4 linked regions of the Yarrowia lipolytica genome follow. The protein of the gene in region 4 binds, or shares a complex with, the protein of the main gene of each other region. Links are inferred from orthologs where the notes say so. Each region holds a gene or a part of one and is shown on either strand. Other genes may lie near its edges.

Evidence for each region. Proteins that work in one complex are often made in the same cells at the same time.
Region 1: YALI1_F12983g (region 4) and YALI1_F21279g share a complex: the UniProt entries of both Saccharomyces cerevisiae proteins name them as parts of the U4/U6-U5 tri-snRNP complex. The link is inferred for Yarrowia lipolytica from reciprocal best matches to the Saccharomyces cerevisiae genes SNU23 and PRP18.
Region 2: YALI1_F12983g (region 4) and YALI1_E17583g share a complex: the UniProt entries of both Saccharomyces cerevisiae proteins name them as parts of the U4/U6-U5 tri-snRNP complex. The link is inferred for Yarrowia lipolytica from reciprocal best matches to the Saccharomyces cerevisiae genes SNU23 and DIB1.
Region 3: YALI1_F12983g (region 4) and YALI1_A19974g share a complex: the UniProt entries of both Saccharomyces cerevisiae proteins name them as parts of the U4/U6-U5 tri-snRNP complex. The link is inferred for Yarrowia lipolytica from reciprocal best matches to the Saccharomyces cerevisiae genes SNU23 and SMD3.

The regions. Positions count from the first base shown.
Region 1 is NC_090775.1:2,124,579-2,130,412, reverse strand, and holds YALI1_F21279g (uncharacterized protein), read right to left. Parts: upstream 2,508-5,834; coding exon 1,392-2,507; downstream 1-1,391. Other genes in the region: YALI1_F21315g (uncharacterized protein), read left to right, coding at 1-234; YALI1_F21261g (uncharacterized protein), read left to right, coding at 4,311-5,411; YALI1_F21224g (uncharacterized protein), read right to left, coding at 5,541-5,834. UniProt on the Saccharomyces cerevisiae protein: Component of the U4/U5/U6 snRNP, binding principally to the u5 snRNP. It is not absolutely required for the second step of pre-mRNA splicing at low temperatures but is required at higher temperatures.
Region 2 is NC_090774.1:1,755,176-1,760,180, reverse strand, and holds YALI1_E17583g (uncharacterized protein), read right to left. Parts: upstream 1,824-5,005; coding exon 1,392-1,823; downstream 1-1,391. Other genes in the region: YALI1_E17613g (uncharacterized protein), read left to right, coding at 1-529; YALI1_E17594g (mitochondrial 54S ribosomal protein bL31m), read left to right, coding at 732-1,154; YALI1_E17574g (uncharacterized protein), read left to right, coding at 2,805-4,775. UniProt on the Saccharomyces cerevisiae protein: Essential role in pre-mRNA splicing. Also essential for entry into mitosis (G2/M progression) as well as for chromosome segregation during mitosis.
Region 3 is NC_090770.1:1,994,167-1,999,614, reverse strand, and holds YALI1_A19974g (uncharacterized protein), read right to left. Parts: upstream 2,226-5,448; coding exon 2,181-2,225; intron 2,081-2,180; coding exon 2,020-2,080; intron 1,604-2,019; coding exon 1,392-1,603; downstream 1-1,391. Other genes in the region: YALI1_A19989g (uncharacterized protein), read right to left, coding at 1-738; YALI1_A19965g (uncharacterized protein), read left to right, coding at 3,170-5,448. UniProt on the Saccharomyces cerevisiae protein: Plays a role in pre-mRNA splicing as a core component of the spliceosomal U1, U2, U4 and U5 small nuclear ribonucleoproteins (snRNPs), the building blocks of the spliceosome. Also binds telomerase RNA and is required for its accumulation.
Region 4 is NC_090775.1:1,295,811-1,300,568, reverse strand, and holds YALI1_F12983g (uncharacterized protein), read right to left. Parts: upstream 2,193-4,758; coding exon 1,737-2,192; downstream 1-1,736. Other genes in the region: YALI1_F13001g (uncharacterized protein), read right to left, coding at 84-397; YALI1_F12969g (uncharacterized protein), read right to left, coding at 2,577-3,587; YALI1_F12951g (uncharacterized protein), read right to left, coding at 4,467-4,758. UniProt on the Saccharomyces cerevisiae protein: Participates in pre-mRNA splicing. Part of the U4/U5/U6 tri-snRNP complex, one of the building blocks of the spliceosome.

The sequences.
Region 1 (5,834 bases), about 830 kb from region 4:
AACGATGTGTTGCTGAGAGAGGACCAGAAGGAGTACGCCAAGGCCATCAAGAGCGACGAATGGAAGCGTCGACAGAACGAGAAGATTCTCGATCATTGGATCGGAGGAGGCTCTGCCGAGAATGTCATGTCTCCCTTTGCTGCCACTGGTTCTGCTCGAGAAGCTACCAGACATACTGGTGTCAAGGTTGGTCGAGGACGATACGTTAACAGTAATAAGAAGAACCGAAAGTAGACGGCCAATGGGGAACAATGATGGGAAGGAGGTGATAGAGTAATGCATTTGTTTTATTGATTATCGTCGGGGTGGGCTTTGTAGGCATTGTCTTGCACAGTACAACTCATGTATTCTTAGGTATGTGTAATAGAACCAAGATTCAAGAGCATGTCTCTGTATGTTATCGCGGGCCCAACTACGTCATGGTCTACTAGCCTACATAGGTAGTCATTTTTTGATATGTCCAATCAATTATCGATATGTCCAACATGTGTGCGATTTGAAACTCGACTCTCGGTTAGGCAATCACACAAGAGGAGGGTTGGAAGGTTCGGTATCCGCCAACAATTGTAACGTTGGAGTTGACTCGGTAGGAGTCGGTGCCATATGCTCGAGGGATAGCCTTGCTCATTGTGTTAGTTGTTGTAGTAGTGGTTCTTTCTGTTTGATGGACTTCACGGGAGGGATTGTACTGTTACTTATAGACATAAGGCAACAGGGAGGCTTTGTCACATTCACGTTTCAAAACAGATCCGTCAATGAACTTGGGTGATTACCAAATTGCTTCGATACTGGTCTTGTCTAGAATCATCTCTGTGATTCATTGTCCGTTCCCGTTCAGGAAATTTTTGACCTTCCATGCATGGATTCTATTGACATGTCCAATTGGGGAAAACAGATATGGCATCTTCAAGAGATCTGAAAGGAGGGGGATTAAAAAAAGAAAAAGAATGAAATCTTTTAGATCAATCTAGCTTGTGCTCTTAACCAAGCTCCTCATTTGGTTTTGTATGCCTTTTTGTCATGTCTGTCAGAACACATCCTTGCAACGAGTTGACATTGTCAACCCGAATATGGTGTAATCAGACGGACAGTAAGTCAAAAAGAAGAGCTGACACAATCCGAAAATGTATTGTGTGCCCCGGCAGTTCTACTTGTATGAGTCTTGCTACCCTCTTGTCTACAGATCTGGTTTACTGCAATCCCACGGCTTGTAGCTCTACATTGCAAGACAGAACAATACAATGCTACCCGGCGAGACTCTGACTAACCATTTCACAAAACAGACAACAAAATGCAAAAAATACAATGATTAATAATTTAATGGGTGGAAGCAGCTTCTCTCTAGCAATCAACACACGACCCATGATGCAGAGCACAGGACAGGAGGTTACTTACTCAGAGGCTTCCTTCTGTTCAACCTCAGCATTCTGGTCAGTCTCGGAATTGCCATCAACCCCAGCCTCCTCCAGGACTGTCCCCTTGACATCCCTTCCTCGCGGTTCGTTGACTCGGTTCCCCCGATCCTCCATATCCACAACAGTCAACAAAGCCTTTCTCACACAACTCTCGTAGCCCTCAGCAAAGGTCAATAGCCGTTTAATGCACACAAGCCACTGCCTCGTATCATCATTGACAATGTGTGCCACCTGCTTCGAGTTTCGGGCTGAAGCAATAGTCTTGTTCTGAGACGCTCTAGCGTGAATGCCAATGGAAGCCACTCCAACGGGCCAACAGGCGTTTCCAATGCACAATTTAAGATAGACATCATAGGCCTGGTGGTGTTCCTCATGTTGCACATGGTACATGACCTTTGAAAGCATAGCCAGAACTTCGTCTTGGAGACCATTGTGTCGTAATAAGACCATGAGAGAAGATAGAGAGGTCTGCGTTTCTTCGAAGATAGTGTGTCGCTTGTAAGCGTTTGCTGCCTCGGAGACCTCTTCGGCCGCTCCACTGGCCTGGGCTGCAGCTCCCTTATCCAAAGTACCCTCCCATTCACTCAATAACCGTGCCAGAAACACTCTCAGCTGCATGGCGAGCTTTTTCTTGGTCTCCGAATCCCTTGTGGCATCCTTCTTTGTGGCTACGTCACTCCAGTCGATTCGCACGTTTGTTCTCGCGTCATTGGCAGCCATTTCTTCCACTGTCTCTATTGGTTCCGATGTTGCCACATCATGCTCTGTCGATACGGTAGATGTTGTGGAAGCTGGTGCTTTGGCCAAAGATTCCTGCTTGGCTCTCTTGGCCTCTTCTCGCTCAAGTCGCTCTTCTTCCCGGTCAAGTTCTCTCTGTCGCTTCATCTGCTTCAGCCGTTCCAGGCGCTTGAGGTCGTCTGAGTTGTCGGAAACTGTCGTCTGGGCGGGCTTGGGAGCCGCTGCCTTACAGCCGTAGTCTGCCACTCCCGTTCCAGCTTTCTTCTTGGAGATTTCGCCCTGAATCAGTGCTGCAAAATCCATTTTTGTGTGTTGTGAATGAAGTAGCGTTTTTTTGCGATGCTGCACATACATCTATGCAGCTGCAGAACACATTTTGTGCCAACCTTAAAAACAGCGTTCTTCTTTTTTTCCTCTGCCAACTTTATCGAGGCACGACCATGACCAGATATGGAGAGGTAGGCGACACCACCAAGTCGCCTTGAAAATGAGAAATCGAGGCAGTTGCTTAGTCAGAAAACCTTTTTCCGATACAAACATGCAATTTTCACACTCTTGGAAGACTCCATACTATCCTTGTAACGCTCTTGCCCACGTCTCGTTGCTTTAGTCCGAACTTCTCCTCACACTCAACCAATGGGATTTTTTCAGTTCATATTAAGTAACTTTCAACAAGGACAATAGAACTAGTTAGTTTTAAGCGCAAGTAACTCTGACCTTCACTCGAAATATGCCGTCCAGAAACAACATCTTGTAGCTCTGAATCTCTTCTCGAGGCCACTACCTAAGATACATCGATGAACTCGACCTTGTGTACATGTATTCTTACATACGTCTCTTCTACACTCACTGACAGACCGCTCATATTCCCCTCAACTCTTCCTCGGAAAGTTACTTTGATTGCAGTTCGGTCTAACGGCGGTGAACTCTGCTGCGCAGGTATAGGTGAGCTGTGTGTCTCAGGGTGCCTGAACCCGAGACTTCTGGGTTAGATCAAAGGCAAAAAGGTGAGCTGACCTCTATTGCTAGCGGATCAACAGTTATGAGAACGCCCAATGTGATTGCCGACCCTCGGCTGATTGTATTGATCGACAAAGCAGCACATGCGGGAAGAAACGGAACCATGAAGGTGGAGATCCGGTGCAGATGTGCGCGCGAGAGATACGGAGAGGGTTATGGGGTCAAATTCAATTGAATTGCACATTTGTGATCATTCTGCTGCCCAATTGCGTGTGTACTATTGCTAATATTCCAGAATACAGTACATACTCGTGCGTACAGTGGGAACTTGGACAATCCACCCCAAACATCATAATATGTCTCAATTTCAACATATTTCGTCGATATCATTGATTGCGAGTGGCACAGAGACATGCGCAGAGTCATGCTTAGCATACATATCCCTTTCTTATACCAAAAATCCCCCTTCAAAGGGTCTAAAATTGACACCAACTTTTGCGATCACGTGACTAATCTGTCTTCTCAAAACAGTCTAACGGTTTTTGGTCCTAACGGTTGCGGCCATATCCTGGTGAAAATACGGCTTCCCGTCCGATCAGCCATAGTCAAGCACCAGAGAGCCTAGTTAGTATTGTAGTGGGAGACCATACGAGAATCCTGGGTGCTGCAATCTCTGTTTTTTGCAGCTTACTAAGGTGGCGACAATGTAAGTTTTTTTGCTTAGTAATAATGCTTTGCATTAATGCTTAGTAACAATGGGGTATTGGAGCCTTCCGAAGTCCTTCCTCAACCTTCGTTACTGGCCAAGCTGATTAATATCCTCTTTAATACTCGTATTATAGCACACAAAGAGGACCCAAACTGGTGTCAAGATGGGGCTTTTGTTTGAATCGACTTGAACAGAACTCGAACTTGGAGCATCTCATACTTCAACTAACTTTCCAACTGTTATTCCTCTCGTTTGACAGCTCTATAGTTGACCATCGAGAGCAACCCAAACTGTCACCACGACCACACAATTGGGGCATGCAATGACCATTAAAACTGAAAAAAGGTAGTCTAGCAAATATATACCAGTAATTCGAGAAGAATATCTCGGAAAAACTATACCCGCAACTCTTCAATCACCCATCATTAGGTACATGTCCATACATTACCTACGGTACCATATTTAAACTTCACCAAGAAAGTTCATATATGCAGAACCTCAGCACTTTGGCGGTTTCGCTGATCGAGATAGATACATTTCCATCATCGTTTCCTCACGACATTCGCACAGACAAGATGAACGTGAAATCTGAGGTCAAGCCCGAAGAGGAAGATGTTAAGATTCCTCCTCCTCCTGTTGATGCCGACGATGGATCTTTCGACCTGGATACTGCGGGACTCGAAAACCGGGTATGGTTGGTGCGACTGCCCAAGTTTTTGGTGGACAAGTGGAGCCATCTGGATGAACACACTAACAAGCGACTCGGCCAGGTGCTGATCAAGGAAAACACAGCTCCCGGCGAGAAACAAAAGGTGTCTTTGCGCCTAAGTGATACGCCCGAAAACAGTGAGATTCCACATGAGTATGAGTTGGATATCGTCAAGGAGGTGGTCAACAACACGTTTGTGTTCACGGAGAAGGAGCAGAAGAAGGAAAAGGAAAAAGAAAAGGAGGAGGCCGGCAGTAGTGGAGCCGGCTCGTCGTCGTCGGCAGCGTCATCGTCAGCAGGAAAGGTCTCAAAGCCATCAGCATTTCCATTTGCACGAACAATCCCCAAGAAAACGGCGCTGGCCGGCCGAGTAATCCACGAATGCACAGTTGTGCCGTCACTCAAGGACGCAAATTACAAAAAGGTCATTCAGAAGCGAAAGGAGCGACTGCAACAGCCTCCTGCTGCCCGAGTCACTCTGCTCAACGACCTCCCCGGCGTGGTGGCTTCTTCCAATGCCCCCAACCTGCGTGGCACTGGCTCTCAGTCGCACTTCATGAAGGCCCAGAAGAAGGATATCAAGCTGGACGGAAAGGCCGTTCGGATCGAGCGATCTGCGCTTCTGGATATCCTCTTCAAGCTGTTCGAAGAGTACCCCTACTGGTCGCTCAAGGGTCTTAAGGAACGAACCAAGCAGCCTGAAGTGTACCTTCGAGAGGTACTCGATAGCATGGCTGTTCTCAACAAGTCTGGTCCTTATGCCATGAAATACTCCCTGCAACAGGAGTACAAGCAGCTGTCCAATTCTGCAGGTGCCCAGGAGGAAGACGATGGTGCAGACGATGATGACGATGATGTTGAGATGGAGACTGTGTTGTAGATTTGACAAGTGGTTTGCACATGGGTTAGGTGAATAAATATAAATATCATTGACTATATAAATGAGTGAATAAATAGGTCAGTTCTTGGTTAATGGGGTATGAAGTTGAAGTTGAAAACATCGTGACGATTAGAAGACATCCTTATCCCAGTTGAAAACAGATAGACGAGGCTGGTCAGATCTCTTCTTCGGTAGGCCTCTTGAAATCTGACGTCGTTGTTGCATCATCAAAGCAGCGTACTCTGGATCTTCTTCATCTGACGACGGCAGATCACAAGAATCCGAGAAAACGGACACAGAAGAAGTGGTCGACGTAGTGGAGCTGCCAGAGACTGAACGTATCTCAGCCTCCGGACATCCAATGTGGAATCTGTCCAATTGTCCGTACTTTTTCGGGCTTCTCTTGGGGCTCTGAGACATTGT
Region 2 (5,005 bases), on a different chromosome or scaffold from region 4:
GTGCGACATTACTGACCCTCTCTTGTACGAGAAAATCCACAGTGCCCCTGTTCGAGCCAAGTACGACGTTCTGGACGGCTGGTTCGAGTACAATGACATCAGCAAGATTCGAAAGGCTCTCCGAGCCAAGGTCCGAGGAACTATTCTTAGGGAGAACTCCAACGAAACCGTGCAGGCCATCTTTGACGCCGAGGAAGAGCAGCGACCTGAAGGTGATGTTGAAGAGAATCAGGTTGCTGAGGACGACGAAGAGGACGTTGTGGAGGTTGTGGACCCCGAGATGCAGCCCGAGACTACAGAGGCGGCTGTTATTACCGAATCCTCTTCGGAGCCCCCTGTGGAGGACCCTGATCTCAACATGTTCAGTCTTCATCTTAACAACGTCAAGAGCCTGCGAGACCTGTCGGGTATTTCTCAGCAGCGAATTGACGATAAGGATAAAGATAAGGATACGGGCAAGGACGAGGGCAAGGGCGAGGGCAATGGCGAGGGCAAGGGCGAGGGCAAGGACGAGGACAAGGAATGGTAGTACTATTTGTACAACTTGTATGTATTTTACGGTATTTAATGTATTTTTAAGAAGCACTCTTGTTATGCTCATACCAAAGAGTCGAACTCACGACCCCCTGTATAGCTGATTTTTACCTCGTCTGAAAAAAACCTAACCCTGCAACATCCAAACTGTGTTAGTGAATTTTCGGATCACGGTACATCACTTCACAGTCACAAACATGTTCAAGCGAGCTACCGTCCCCCTGACGACAATCAAGAACGCCAGAAACGCCTCGATTCTGCGAGCGCCCAAGCGACAAAAGCGACTCGCTTTCGGACAGACCATCGCTCCCGTTTTCCACGAGTTTGAGTGCACCGTCCAGCTGTCCGACGGCTCCACCTACAAGCGACGAACCGTGGCCCCCGTGGAGCAGCTGAAGCCCATTAATGATCAGCGAAACGTGCATCTCTGGAACCCCAACAAGCCCGAGCTCAAGACCGACTCTGGAGAGGAGGGCAAGCAGATGTCCAAGTTCAACGAGAAGTTTGGTTTCGGCGAGGTCGACGACGACTTTGCCGATTTGCTGGGTCAGGACTTCGTCGAGACCAAGTCTGGAGTTCAGGTCCAGAAGAAGAAGTCCGACCTGAAGAAGAAGAAATAGGCGACGTAGAAGGAGACACGGAGAAGGCGTTGGTAGCGCAAAAACAGTACATAGTAACCAGCATATTATTGGATGATCTGAGTACGTAGGGGATTGTAAAGACATGGCATACATTCCTCAAACACATGGTGCACGCTATGAACTCCCGTTCACGTCGTAGTTATGGCTATATTACATATAAATTACTAATCTTTCTATGATGCAGAGTTATCCCGTCGTGGACAAGTAGACCTTTCTCTAAAACTTGTGTTTGGTACTATAGTCCTTGGGACTGACCACCAGACCCTTACCTTTACTTGCTCCACGATAGACTGTTTCGATGATGTCAATGAGCTCCTGCTTGTCCTCCAATACCCAGTTCAACTTGTTGTTATCTCCGGTGCCAAAGTCGCACATGATGTGTTTGTTTCGGTAGAAAAACATGACCGATACTGGGTCATACAGCTCGTACATCTGGTTGAACTCGGGCACCTGGTCAATGTCGCACACGTAGACGGCCGCGAAGTTTCTGATCTTTTCCGCCACCGAGTACAGATGGTCGTCCATTTTCATGCATTCGAGGTCGTGGTCTCGGCCGAATCGAATGACAACGAGTCGATCCTCCTCCGATAAGATGGCCTGGTCCACGTGCCAGCCCGTGTTCAGGTGAGGCAGCAAGATAGATCCCATGATGTGTGTGTAATGTGCTGAGTTGGTGCAGAGGTAGGGATATATTTAGGTCACGTGAGTGGGAGGTTTGTGGGAAAATACAAAAATAAAATAAAATAGAATATAATATAATATAATATAATATAAATAAAATAGAATACAAATTAAATAGGAATACAAGTAAAAGTGCATCAACTCGATTTACAATATAACTTGATCAGACGCGGGAAAACATAAATGTGGTAAATTCCCCCAATAGCTATATATCTGGCACTCTACCCACCATATATCCAAGTTATTTGATTTTCCAGTACATTTTCGTATATGGGTACAAACCTCAAACTCTACATTGCATTGTTCAAATGCTCTGGAACCCTGACTAACTCAATTGGACAGGCCCGGAATATCGCCGAATATGAACCCATAGGGGATACCGGGCGAGAAAAAACGAGCCCTGTGGAATGGCATTGTCCAACAAGTAGTTCAAAGTCTGTCTATGTCTGCGTCCAGTCGGTCCCTTTTGGTGTTTATTGACACACTAGAACCTTCAATGATCTGAGGCAGGAACTAATTCTGGCTCTAGGAAGGGCCTGTCGGAGGGGGTCATGTAAGTACGAGTACGGGTGATGGATGAGACATGGTGAGTCACAAAGAGTGACGTCTTTTCTTTGTTATAGATGTGTGATGGGATTCAAGCTCTCGGGAAACACAATTCCGGTGTAGTCACGCCTGCTCTACGACTTGTACGAGGGACTCGTTATCATCTATCTCTCATTGACAGCAAATGCATACTGCGCTGGGGTCACTTTCACGCACCCTTTTCTTGTTACTCCCAAACCCCGTTGTTTTTTTTTACAAGAGTGCAAAGTTTGGAAAATTTAACTCCAGTCCACTCTTACGACTACTGCCATTGTGACTTCACTAAATCTGCTACGTAGGAAGCTGATTCCTACCCCCCATTTTATACGTCAATTCTCAGTCAGTTCGAATTTTTCCGCTAGAATGTCCACCCGACCCGCCGACCAGGAGCTCAACCGAGAGACTCTTGATGCCGTCCTCAAGCGACGGTTCTTCTACGCCCCAGCCTTTGAGATCTACGACGGTGTTTCCGGTCTTTACGACTACGGCCCGCCTGGATGTGCTCTCCAGACCCGAATCATCGACACGTGGCGAGATCACTTTGTGCTCGAGGACGACATGCTCGAGGTCGACACCACCATGCTGACTCCCCACGAGGTTCTGAAGACCTCTGGCCACGTGGACAAGTTTGCCGACTGGATGTGCCGAGATCTGGCCTCCGGCGAGATTTTCCGAGCCGACCATCTGGTCGAGGAGGTGCTCGAGGCCCGACTCAAGGGAGACAAGGAGGCCCGAGGCATCAAGGAGGACGTTGTTGAGGACGAGTCCGCCAAGAAGCGAAAGAAGAAGGTCAAGGAGATTGTGGCCATCAAGCTCGATGACAATGTTAAGGAGGAGTACGAGACCATTCTTGCCAAGATTGACGGTTTCTCCGGCCCCGAGCTTGGTGAGATCATGGACAAGTATAAGATCGTCAACCCCGTCACCGGCGGTCCCCTTGAGAAGCCCATGGAGTTCAACCTCATGTTCGAGACTGCCATCGGCCCCTCCGGTAAGCTCAAGGGCTTCCTGCGACCCGAGACCGCCCAGGGCCAGTTCCTCAACTTCAACAAGCTGCTGGACTGCAACAACACCAAGATGCCCTTCGCCTCTGCCTCCATTGGTAAGTCTTTCCGAAACGAGATTTCCCCCCGATCCGGTCTGCTGCGAGTCCGAGAGTTCACCATGGCCGAGATTGAGCACTTTGTCGACCCTCTGGACAAGGACCACCACCGATTCGACGAGGTCAAGGACGTCAAGCTGCGATTCCTCGCCAAGGATGTCCAGTCCGCTGGTAAGACCGACATCCAGGAGATGACCATCGGCCAGGCCGTTGAGACCGGTCTCGTTGACAACAAGACCCTCGGATACTTCCTTGCTCGAATCTACCTGTTCCTGATCAAGATTGGTGTCAACCCCGACCGACTCCGATTCCGACAGCACATGTCCAACGAGATGGCCCACTACGCCACCGACTGCTGGGATGCCGAGCTGCACACCTCCTACGGCTGGATCGAGTGTGTTGGCTGTGCTGACCGATCTGCCTACGATCTGTCTGTGCACGAGGCCCGAACCAAGGTCAAGCTGCAGGTTCAGCAGAAGCTCGACGCTCCTCTCGTCGAGGACAAGTTTGTCTGCGAATACGACAAGAAGAAGTTTGGTCCTCTGCTCAAGAAGGCCGCCAAGCCCGTCGAGGAGTGGTTCGAGTCCCGAACCCAGTGCGAGCTTGAGGATCTTGCCAAGGCTCTTGAGGCCGGCAAGATCGTCCTGCCCGAGATTGAGGGTGTCGAGGTTGCCGGCACCGAGCTTGACAAGTCTCACATCAAGATTGAGAAAAAGACCATCACCACCCACGTTCGAGACTACACTCCCAACGTCATCGAGCCTTCTTTCGGTATCGGACGAATCCTTTACTCTCTGATCGAGCACTGCTTCTGGACTCGACCCGAGGACGCCTCCGGAGCCAAGGGTGTGCTTTCTTTCCCTCCTCGAATTGCCCCCACTAAGGTTCTTGTTGTTCCTCTCTCTTCCCAGAAGGAGCTGGCCCCCTTCACTCAGGAGGTCTCCAAGAAGCTGCGACAGGCCCGAATCTCCGCCAAGGTCGACGACTCTTCTGCCTCTATCGGTAAGCGATACGCCCGAAACGACGAAATGGGAACTCCCTTCGGTATTACCGTCGACTTCGACACTGTCAAGGACAACTCTGTCACCCTCCGAGAGCGAGACTCCACTCGACAGGTTCGAGGCTCCATCGACGCCGTCATTGCTGCCATCAACGTCATGACCGCCGACGATGTTGCCTGGGAGGAGGCCACCAAGGACCTCACTCCTTTCGATTCCACCGACAAGGAGTAAATCCAGTAAACGTTCAATAAAAATATGTACAGAGTAATGAGTTCAATATTGGAATTAAACAGCACCAAGTAGTCACCCTCAGACCACTTGAGGTGAGATGTATGGGTGAGAGAATAGACCAAGGCAGCCAAATCAGAACATGTCACACTTTGGATCTGTGGCGGTTTCTCTATGGACAGCCGGTTTACATATACTGAAGTAAGGCACGTTCTACTTTGTAGTAAGGGCAT
Region 3 (5,448 bases), on a different chromosome or scaffold from region 4:
GTCTCCAGCCTTGATGTGTGCTCTGATTGTCGAGGGTAGCTCGAAGAGATATCTGTTGGCCGTCACCATCTCCAGAGCAGCCTGTAGCCGTTCTTCCTTGAGTCGTGTGTTGAAGACGGGATTCATCAGGATCGCAGCTTTGCTGTTTCCTTCATCTAGCGACTGTGTCAGCTCTCCCATGCCCCACTCGTTTTCCTGGGTGAACCCGGACGACTTGAATTGCTTGAATACCGAGTCCAGGTAGCTCTTACTCTTGACGAACTTGTCAAAGTTGCGGTCCACGAGGGTTTGCAGGGCGGAGCTTTGCTCGGTAATTGAAGCCTCCAGGTGGTCCAACGATTGAGCAAGGGTGTCGAAAGAGGCGTCCGCATGCACGTCTCGCAGAAACACTCGGGGATTGAAGTCTCGTGACGAGATAAAGTACTGGTTAGCAATGGCCGGAGACTCGCTGCAATCGACGCCCTTTTTACGTAATTGAGTCATGACCGAGGCCGAAAATCCCAGTGGATCAGCTTCGTCGTCGGTGATGGCGTGTCTGCTGTGTTTGTTGCCGCCAACGAGCTGGTTCAGCAGCACATATCGAGAGGTGTTGACGGACGCTGATGCTGCTCCTGATTTCGTCTCTTGAGCAGGATCGGCCTCGGGCAGCACCGACAGATCAAAGTTTTCGCTCTCCGTAAACGTCTCCGGATAGTCCTCGGAGATGTTGTACTTGGCGTAGATGGCCGCCTTGTTCATTTTTGGGAGCGAGTTTGGTGATGTGTTAGTCGTGTAGCCGACTCCAGAATGCGTGATAACGTATTAAGGTGTTGGGAGGTATTTACGTGTGCTTAAGCCCCGGAAAAGCTGAGATGACAGGACACGGAGAAAAAGGAGGTATAGGAACTGATGAAATGATTAATTGTTTAATGAAGCCTGGGTTTTTGGTTTCAGTGAATTATTTAACGAAAACATATCGCTTTCGGAGCAATTTGGGGACTATGAATGATTGACACACAGTCAAGAAACACCATTAGGGTTAACCCCACTAATTAGTTGCAGATGAGATGAAATGTGAAGAAAATTTAGGGAATGTATTTGTATGATTTGAGATGTATTCGAGGTCTTAAAAATAGTAATGGATGAATTATAAGACCTTAAGAGTATTATACGTGCCCATTTGGTCTCGTACTCCCTCATTATACGGACCCCTCGCCTTCGTTTTTTCTTCCAGCCTGATAATTACTCTATCATGACCATATTTACTTGGCCTACAATATTGCTACTGTAGACAAAATTCCCACAGAAGTTACAGTACAGTACCGATACCTGTGCTGTACTCGTACTATCGTGCTCGTGCTCGCAATATCTATTTTACATTCATCATTACATCTAGCCAGCAAATACATACATCATCTTCCTCGTCCCCGTCCGCCCCGGCCTCTGCTGCTTCGCACAGCAGCCAGAGTCTGAGGCCGAAACATGGGCGCGTTCTTCAGCATCTCGGGGATGGAAAAGAACCGCACGTGGGATCCTCGGATGTAAACCTGCTCGAGATGCGACACTCGGCCTCCTCGCGCAGTGACGGTCACGTCTCGAATCTGCACGTTCATGTTATCCTCCGCTGAGTTAGTATGGTGGTCTAAGGGGAAAGTGTTTGGCAGTATATCCAGGTTTCTGAGAAACAGCTGCGAGCCGCATGATCTCGTTTGTTGAAATGAAACGTTTATGCTTGCTTATGGTCGTCCTCTGATAAGCCACGGTCGATTTCAACTCCATCAATGCAGCGACACATAACAAATGGTCCATCTTTCCGCGTAAACCGCTCCATTGAAGCTCCGTTCAGCAGCTTGCCCTATCTGTCGTCTAACCTCCACGAACAATTCGGTCTCTGCGGCACAATCACATGGTGCTAATTTAATATCACATGGATACCCAGCTTCGCGAGATTCTGAGCGAGCGAGCAACACCAAGCTGAAGCGAGGTCCTGACTCCGCTGACATCCCTCAAGTTGCCACAATACCCTTATTCTGTACTCACCTTCAATCAATTTTCCCCGATAAGTGTGTCCTGAAGTGAGCTCAACGGTGACAACATGACCCTGTGTTAGTTATGTTCTGGGGTGTGTGGCGACACAAAAGTCGTGCCCATACGCCATTTGCTGCATCATGTCAACTCCTCCTCTGTTTTTCTTTACTCACCTGAGCCTCGCTGAGGAGTTTTAATGGAATTCCGCCAGCTCCCATAGTGTGATGTGTGGTGCTGCAGAAATGTTCATCGGGATAGAGTTGGTGTAGCACACGAGGAGTGGTGGCGAGGCTAAACTTTTAGAATAGGGAAGAGTGCTACGAAATGCGATATATGGCTGACTGTTGGGGGTACAAGCTTCGTTTAACCGAATTATTGGTGAGAAAGAGCTCTCCGTGATTATGACAAGATAAACAAGTTCCTGTCAATATTAGTTGACGAAGAAGAACGAAAAAGGGTTCCAGTTTGTGACTATTGTAGCTATGGTATGTTCACTTGTAATTAGATAATTCGTCTGATCTCTTTTTCAGCAGTGTTTCATTCTTCTAAATTACCATCTTTTTTTATTACTGGGCTACATTGTTGTCTTTATATCGTCTTGTTTTTACGTGGTGGTTTTTTATTTATTTATATACAGTATCATCATATATTGTACAAGTGAATTGTACAATTTTTATAACATAATATAAGTATGTATTGTACTGTACATTCTGTATATTGTACAATTTTTTTTTTCTGCATATACATTCATTTAATTATACAAGTACAAGTACAAGTAGCTACTGTATAATTATACTGTATGTAATTTTTTGGCCTGTCTTATCCCCCTGTTCACATTTTAAGGTGACTATCAACTGACGTTAATCAGCCATGTACAGAGATCAGATATCCAGGATGATATAGCGCCAGGCCGAAACATGCTGGGAAAAGCAAATCGTCAACTTTCTGACCATGAGAGAAGTAATTCTCACATCTCCCTTAATCAGCATGAATGTTTCTACAGATAATCTACTTCCCAGCATTCATACAAATACTGTATTCACATTTTGTAGGTCCTATGGAACTCCATCCAACTACCCTCCATTAAGCTCGCTGGACATCTGCATGCACAGCTCAGCTCCACATCACCAACACCAGCCCTACAAGTAATTATCGCACCAGCATGGACTTTCCCCCGGAACCTAACCGAGCTGTGGAAAGCGAAAAGTTTGCGGTCGAGCCCGTGCAGTTCCAGTTCGCCATCTCGTCGATCGTGGCTCTGGCGGTGGCCAACAACACTCTCTGTCTGGCGCTCAAGTCTGGGCGAATCATTCGAATTGACCTCGACAACCCCGAAAGCGTGGATGACGTGGACGTCAAGGACGGCGGATGTGACATTGAGAACCTGTTTCTCGACCCCACCGGCTCCTACTTACTCATCGCCACCAAGACCCGCGACAATTATGTGCTCAACTACCAAACGACAAAGGTCAAGTCTCTGGGCCGATTGAGAGACCTGGCAATCACATGCGTGGCATGGTCCCCCATCGAAAGCTCTCTGAGCTCAGGAGAGGTGCTACTGGGAACGGCAGACGGCTGCGTCTACGAGACATGCTTGGAGTTCTCGGACGAGTACTTCAAGCGGGAAGACAGATACGTGCGCAAGGTAGCCGAGTTCAAAGCTGCCGATAGCCACGTGGTGACACCCATCACCGGAATCGTTGTTCAGCTCGGATCCAGCCCAAATTACAGAAAAATCATTGTGACAAACGCCAATGGACATGCCTACTATTACTCTGGCAAGATCTCTGCCCACCTGCAGGACGGTATTCCCGTCTACACCAAGTTCTTTGAGCGTGAAGAACACGTAGATCAGGAGTTTGGTGCCGATAACGGAAGAGCTGCCATGTTGTCAGCCACTCCTCCTGACCCCAAGTCCTCATCTTGGGCCTTTGCTCTGCTTTCAGAGGTCGGTATTGTGCACAGAACAATCAAGAAGGACGAAAATGACACTTTGGAGTCACGGAAGACCTTCTTTCAAGGATCCAATATTTACATTCTCAACCAGATCCAGGAATCTTCTATTGTGGGTATGTGTCTGACCAGTTTTCATATGGCCATTGCTACAGAAACCAAGCTGTATATTGTCAATCGGTTCTCTCATGAGCTGGTGTTTGAGCAGCATGTTACCCAGGGCAATGAGACTCTTACCGGTCTCACAGTTGACCCCAAACAACACACCTTTTGGTTGTTCTCAGCTGAAAACATTTACGAAATCACTGTGGACGACGAGTCTCGAGGAATGTGGAAGCTGGTGCTCGAACAGGGTGATCTGGACGAGGCTATGCGGTTGTCTGAAAACGACCCTGATCCCTCTTCTCAGGATGAACTGCTAGGTATTCTGGGAGACAAGCAAATCCAAGAGAAGGACTATCTTGGAGCAGCCAACACCTATGGAAACTCGCGAAGACGCCCCTTGGAACAGACTGCATTGTTGTTCTTGGATGCGAACCAGCCTGAGGCACTGCTCAAGTACCTTCAGAACAAGTTGACCGTCTTTCCCAAGGCCAATGTCACTCAACGCCTGCTTGTGTCCACATGGATCATCGAGTTGTTTATGGAGCAGTTCAACAAATTGGATGATCAGGAGGCCACCTCGGACTCCCCTCTGGATGAGCAGCGTCGAATCCTGTCGACCAAGTTCCACGACTTTATTACCAAATACAAGGGCGATTTGCATAAGGGAACCGTGTTTGAGATCATGAGCGTCAACGGCCGACAGGAGGAGCTGCTATATTACGCTGCAGCTATTCAGGATTACAACTTTGTTCTGCAATACTGGGTTGGTCTGGAGAACTGGTCCAAGGCTCTTCAGGTGCTTCGACAGGTCAAGGCTGAAGAAGACCGTGCATTGCTGTACAAATACTCGACGGTTCTGCTGGTGCATGCTCCCAGAGATACCGTTGACACGTGGATTGTGATAGGAAAGGAGATTGACCCCACGAAAATGGTTCCTGCTCTGTTGAACTACTCGCAGACTGTCAGACCTGGCAAGGTTGCCAGTGACCAGGCTGTGCGGTACCTGAAAAATGTTGTGGGAAAGCAGGGATCTCGTGATGCTATTATTCACAACACTCTCATTTCTTTGCTTTCTATGTCTCCTCAGACTGAAGAGACCGAGCTTTTGGATTATCTCCACGAGTGTGCTACTCTTCCTCAGTTGCCCTATGATGTGGATTTTGCTCTTCGTACTTGCATTCGATGCAAGCGGTTCGAGTCCTGTGTTCACATCTACTGCAACATTCACATGTACCATGAGGCAGTCAAGCTTGCTCTTGACCATGGCAGACTGGAGCTTGCCATCAAGGTGGTTGAACAGACTCGAGATTTGGACGAATCTGATGCCGCTTACACCCCTGATCTTTGCAAGAACTTGTGGTTTGCCATTGTCAAACATGTGAT
Region 4 (4,758 bases):
ATGTGGGAATCCAATGACTCCAATGACACGCCTGAGGCATGTCGATGGACGTCGTTCTTGCTCCTCCGCTCTTCCATACTCACACCTTCTCTCCACTGCCCTCCTCAAACTTGTAGACGGTTCCGTACATGACGTAGTCGTAGTCGTCAGCCAGACTCTTTTCGCCCACCTTGGGTTCTCTCCAGCCAGAATAGGTGGTCTCCTTGTCGGTCAGCTGGGAGGCCAGAGCCACGGTCACCACGTCGCCCTTGGACATGGGGAACAGCTCTGTATTGACATCCAGAGTCAGATGGATGTCGTCATGATTCAGGCTCTGGGCGGTTATTCGTGAGACCCGGTCGTATCGGGCGGAGTCCACAGACGTGGTTTTGAAGGAATCCTCGAATAAAGTAGACATTGTGCTGTTTTCAAAGATCCGAAGTTGACTATCCAGAGTGTTAGGTGCCGAGAGTCTCGTCTTGTTGCCCTCTGCTGAAATTTTAAACTTACGCTTTTTCTGCAGGACACTGCTGGCTTTTTGACTTTTTTTTTCCACCGCACACCGGTAGGGTAAAGTGTCGGAAGACGCCTCCCGCACAGACAAATATACCGCTTGTATGATACAATATGTAAGGGGGATGGATGGAGAGGCAACCGGGAGTGTGTCGGGGCGCGAGCAGACACACGAGAGCAATGGTTTGAGTTTTCGAGCCTGTGGTTTGGGGCTTTTTTCCTCTTGGCAGCAAGTATAATGGTATGACTCGTCCCCGGTCTTACACATGTTGTTTGTCTGTCTACTTGCCTTCCATCTCTTAGATTCATAGAAACGGTGTAGATCTCTTTTTGAGTGGAGACCAGGCCGGAGAGTTGCCATATAGCTGACTAAGCAGTACCGTGAGTCCGTCGACGGGTGCGAGTTCAGTACAAGTCCTCGTATTTGTTGTCTTCTCTTCACCATTATCTGCTAGTACAAGTACATATTGTAGCTACAGTAAGCAGTTTATTTGGGACTACATGTTGGACCACATGCAATGTCCGATGATGTCATAATGGACATTTTTACCAGGGTGCTGTCTTATAATTATTGTACAAGTGTAAATCTCTTGTGTGCTGTCGTTTAAGTAGCAAGACTACTCTCGGTTGTACACACGTACAGTAGGCGAGTACTTGTAGAATGACCCATTATTGACGCCAACCGTTTCATAGCGCTATAGATCATGTCCATAGGCTGTAGACGTCGGAAGGTATGCGGGATAAGCCGTCTGATAACCACCGCGATCACCCTGTCGTACTCCCTGCTGCCAAGAAATCTTTCAGTATGAGTACAGTACGAGTGCGAGTAGTGTACGTCCTCAAGTGCAGTAGTTGCTGTCACCATGCTGGCAGAGGTGGTCATCTCTTTCACAGTTGAGATCAGCCTTTCAAGTGACTGGGGGACGTAGTGATATAGACAATTTTAGCTGGTCAACTTTCCATTCGTAGAGGACTGCTGCCGTAGCTTCACCTAGAGTGCTTCTGTTACAGCAGTGTCGTAAGTCCATTAAATGAGCACTTGGTCACTCAGATGTAGACTTGGTCACTCAGATGTAGATTTGGGATACTTCCGACTTGCCCTGGAAGACCGTTCGAGTATTAGACGTGTGTATCCTATGCGTTAAACGCTTGTGCAGTTCCGTGGCTTGTGTGTGGTGCTAATGTGCTGATGTGCTGTGTAGCACGAGCTATCCGTACAGTGAAATGTTCTGGCGCCCTTAAAATCACTTTTTTGTACTTCCAAACCCGCCAAAGCCCATGGCGGCCATCATTTCGTCGTCAGCTCCTTCTTCCACCTTTTCCTCTCGTTTCTGTCGCTTTCGATCCTTCTTCTTCTTCTTCTGTCGCTCAATCAACTGTTTTCTGGCACTGATCCGAGCGTTGATATCGTAGTCCAACTCCTTCTCCTGGGCGCGTTTTCGCTCCGTCAGCCACTTGAGCCGCTTCTGAACATCCTCCAGCGTCGATTGTCGGGGTCCGTCCGTCTCTCCAATCTCATACAAGTGCTGTTTACTGTTGAGATGGTCGATCCATTGAATGGAGTCTTTGTATGTGAGGTTGCACACTTCACAGTAGAAGCCAGCTCCTTTTCCTCGTCTTCCCACCGAGGCCGTGGCGGGAACCAGCTGGAGAGTGTTCAACCCTTCGTTGAAGTCGATCCGCTCAGTTCTTGCCGACATGCTTGAGGTGAAAGATGAGATGATGGGCTAAATAAAATATCCATGATATGCAGGTGGATGGGTGAACTTTATCGTAGAGTGGTCTGGATGTAAGTATTTAGTTAAAAAAAAAGGGGGTTTACTCGATTTATACTTAGGTGAAAAATATAAAACAAAGCAAACACTCATTGAATAACTACTGTAATGACAGAGAGGGGATATCAAAACAATCCAAACAACTGAAAACAGGAAGAAACCTACTGAAAGCACTACATATCAGTTATATATACAATTGAGAAACACCCATTGTCGTTTAGTCGCGTTACCTTCCCCCAGAAAGACTTGTACCATCCCAGGGTCCTGTCCTACACTACAATCTCAGTCAGTATCTCAATCTATATCTATTTACTGCTTAAGGTGAATGCCTCGGGCATGAAGAGCGTCCTTAACATTGTCGTAAACCACGTCAGGGTCCTGCTTGCAGTCGACAACCACGACTCGGTCCTGGGTCTCAAAGTAGTCGACGACAGGCATGGAAGTCTCGATGAAGGTCACGAACCGCTTTCGGATGGACTCGATGTTGTCATCGGTTCGGCCCGAGGTCTCGCCTCGCTTGAGCAGACGCTTGAGCATGACCTCCTCGGGACACTCGAAGAAGAGAGTGAACTTGGAGACGGCCACGTCCTCCTCGAACTTGAGGGCCTGGTCCATCTTTCGGGGGAAGCCATCAATGAGGAATCGGGTCTTGCCCTTGGCCACGCTCTCCTTCATGGCGTTCTTGAGCAGGCCAATGGTCACCTCCTGGGGCACAATGTCTCCCGCCTTGATGCAGTCGGCGATGAGCTTGCCGTACTGCGAGTTGGGTCGAGACTGCTCCTCTCGCAGCAGATCACCGGCAGACAGGTGCACAAAGCCGTACTCGTTGACCAGCTTCTCGCACTGGGTGCCCTTGCCGGCTCCGGGGCCTCCTAGCACAAAGATGACGGAGACCTCGTTGGGGCCAAACGCGGCCTTCTTGTACTTGGATTTGGTCTGCTGGACCATCTGGTTGTAGTCCTCCTCGGTGATCTCGGCCACCACGGGCTTCTTGTCGAGCTGCTTGGCCGCCCACATGAAGAAGGCGGTGGTGGCTCCAAAGGCAATCACCAGCTTGACAGGGGTCGGCATGGCGCCCTGGAGCAGCTCGTGGGACGCGTATTTTCGGGCCATGGGGCTGGGGCGGTTCATTCGGCCCATGGTCCGGGCCAGGTGCGAGATTCGGCTTCGGAACATGATGTTTGTGTGTGGTGGTGTCCGGGCTTGATTTGCTGTAGGAGTGAAATTTGACGGAGCTGCAGGGTGCGTGTAAACCGCCGCAGCTCTTAAGTACCGGCGGGCGACGGTCTCAGCACAGGCAGCAGAACAACGAGCAAACATGGCCGTGCGCGAAAACTGGGACTTTCCATTGGTGAACAGAGGGAAGTGGAAACAAAACGGGGGAGCACACGACTATATATATACACGCTGCCTTTCTCACAACGGCTTTTTTTTATGTTGACGTGGGAGGTCATAACCTTGACAATGGTGCGTTTGGTCAGGGGGAAGCAACATTAATAAAACTACGAGTACACTGTAGTTGTAACAGAGTCCTGGTGAAACCGATTTGTGGTCTTGTCGGACTTGTCACGTGATATACATTACTCATTACGTCAGCCCCACGGTCTCCCGGCACTACAAGTACTCCTCCTGTTCTTTGGTTCAATACCAAAAAAAAAAAAAAAAACACACACATTCCAAGCAACCGATAGAGTTGGAGCCCAAAGGATAGAGAGAGATAGACAGACGCAACCATGACCAGCCTTGGCGGTGGTGGAGATTTGTGGAAGGAACAAGTAAATGATAGAGACACAAATGGGGATGCAAATGTGTTGTTTCTTCCGTCCCATTGTCGCTCGCTCGTGTTGTTTTTCAGAAGCACCTCTTTTCCCACCCAGAGCGGCTCGTTTGTCATTGTCACTGGCTCGTCGCGTCTATCGCGTAATTTGGAGATCCATGGTTAAACACTCAAGTCAATGTCTAAAGGCAAACTGGTCGTGACGGAGTCAACCTCAAACTTTGAAGAGAAGATACGGCCTACAGTTACTTGTACGGTACTTGTACTTGTAGACTGTGTGTGTGTTGGTTGAGTGGTTGTAATGGCAGTGTGACATGTTGTCAACTACTGTAGCTGTGTAGGTACTGCCTAGTATCGTGCATTCATAGTCGTTAGAATGCAATTGACAATCGTCGTAGTCCTTCAAACCATCACAAACACCCCTAAAGAGCCAGCTGCTTGTTGACCAGATCGGCCACCTCCTTCTGACGCTCCTCAATGAGCGAAATCTCGCGCTGGTACTGCTCTAGCGTCAGCTCAAGATCAGATTTGCGCGCGTCCATGTCTACCTTGCGCTGCTTGATGGACTCCACTACATCTGTCAGAGACGGAATCTCCGGCACCGAATGCAGCTTTTTCAGCGCCAGATTATGAGCCTCGTGATCAGTGGACTCCCGGTACTTAGTTTCCGACGTGGAGTCATCCTTGAATACACCCGACGACCGGAACTGCGAC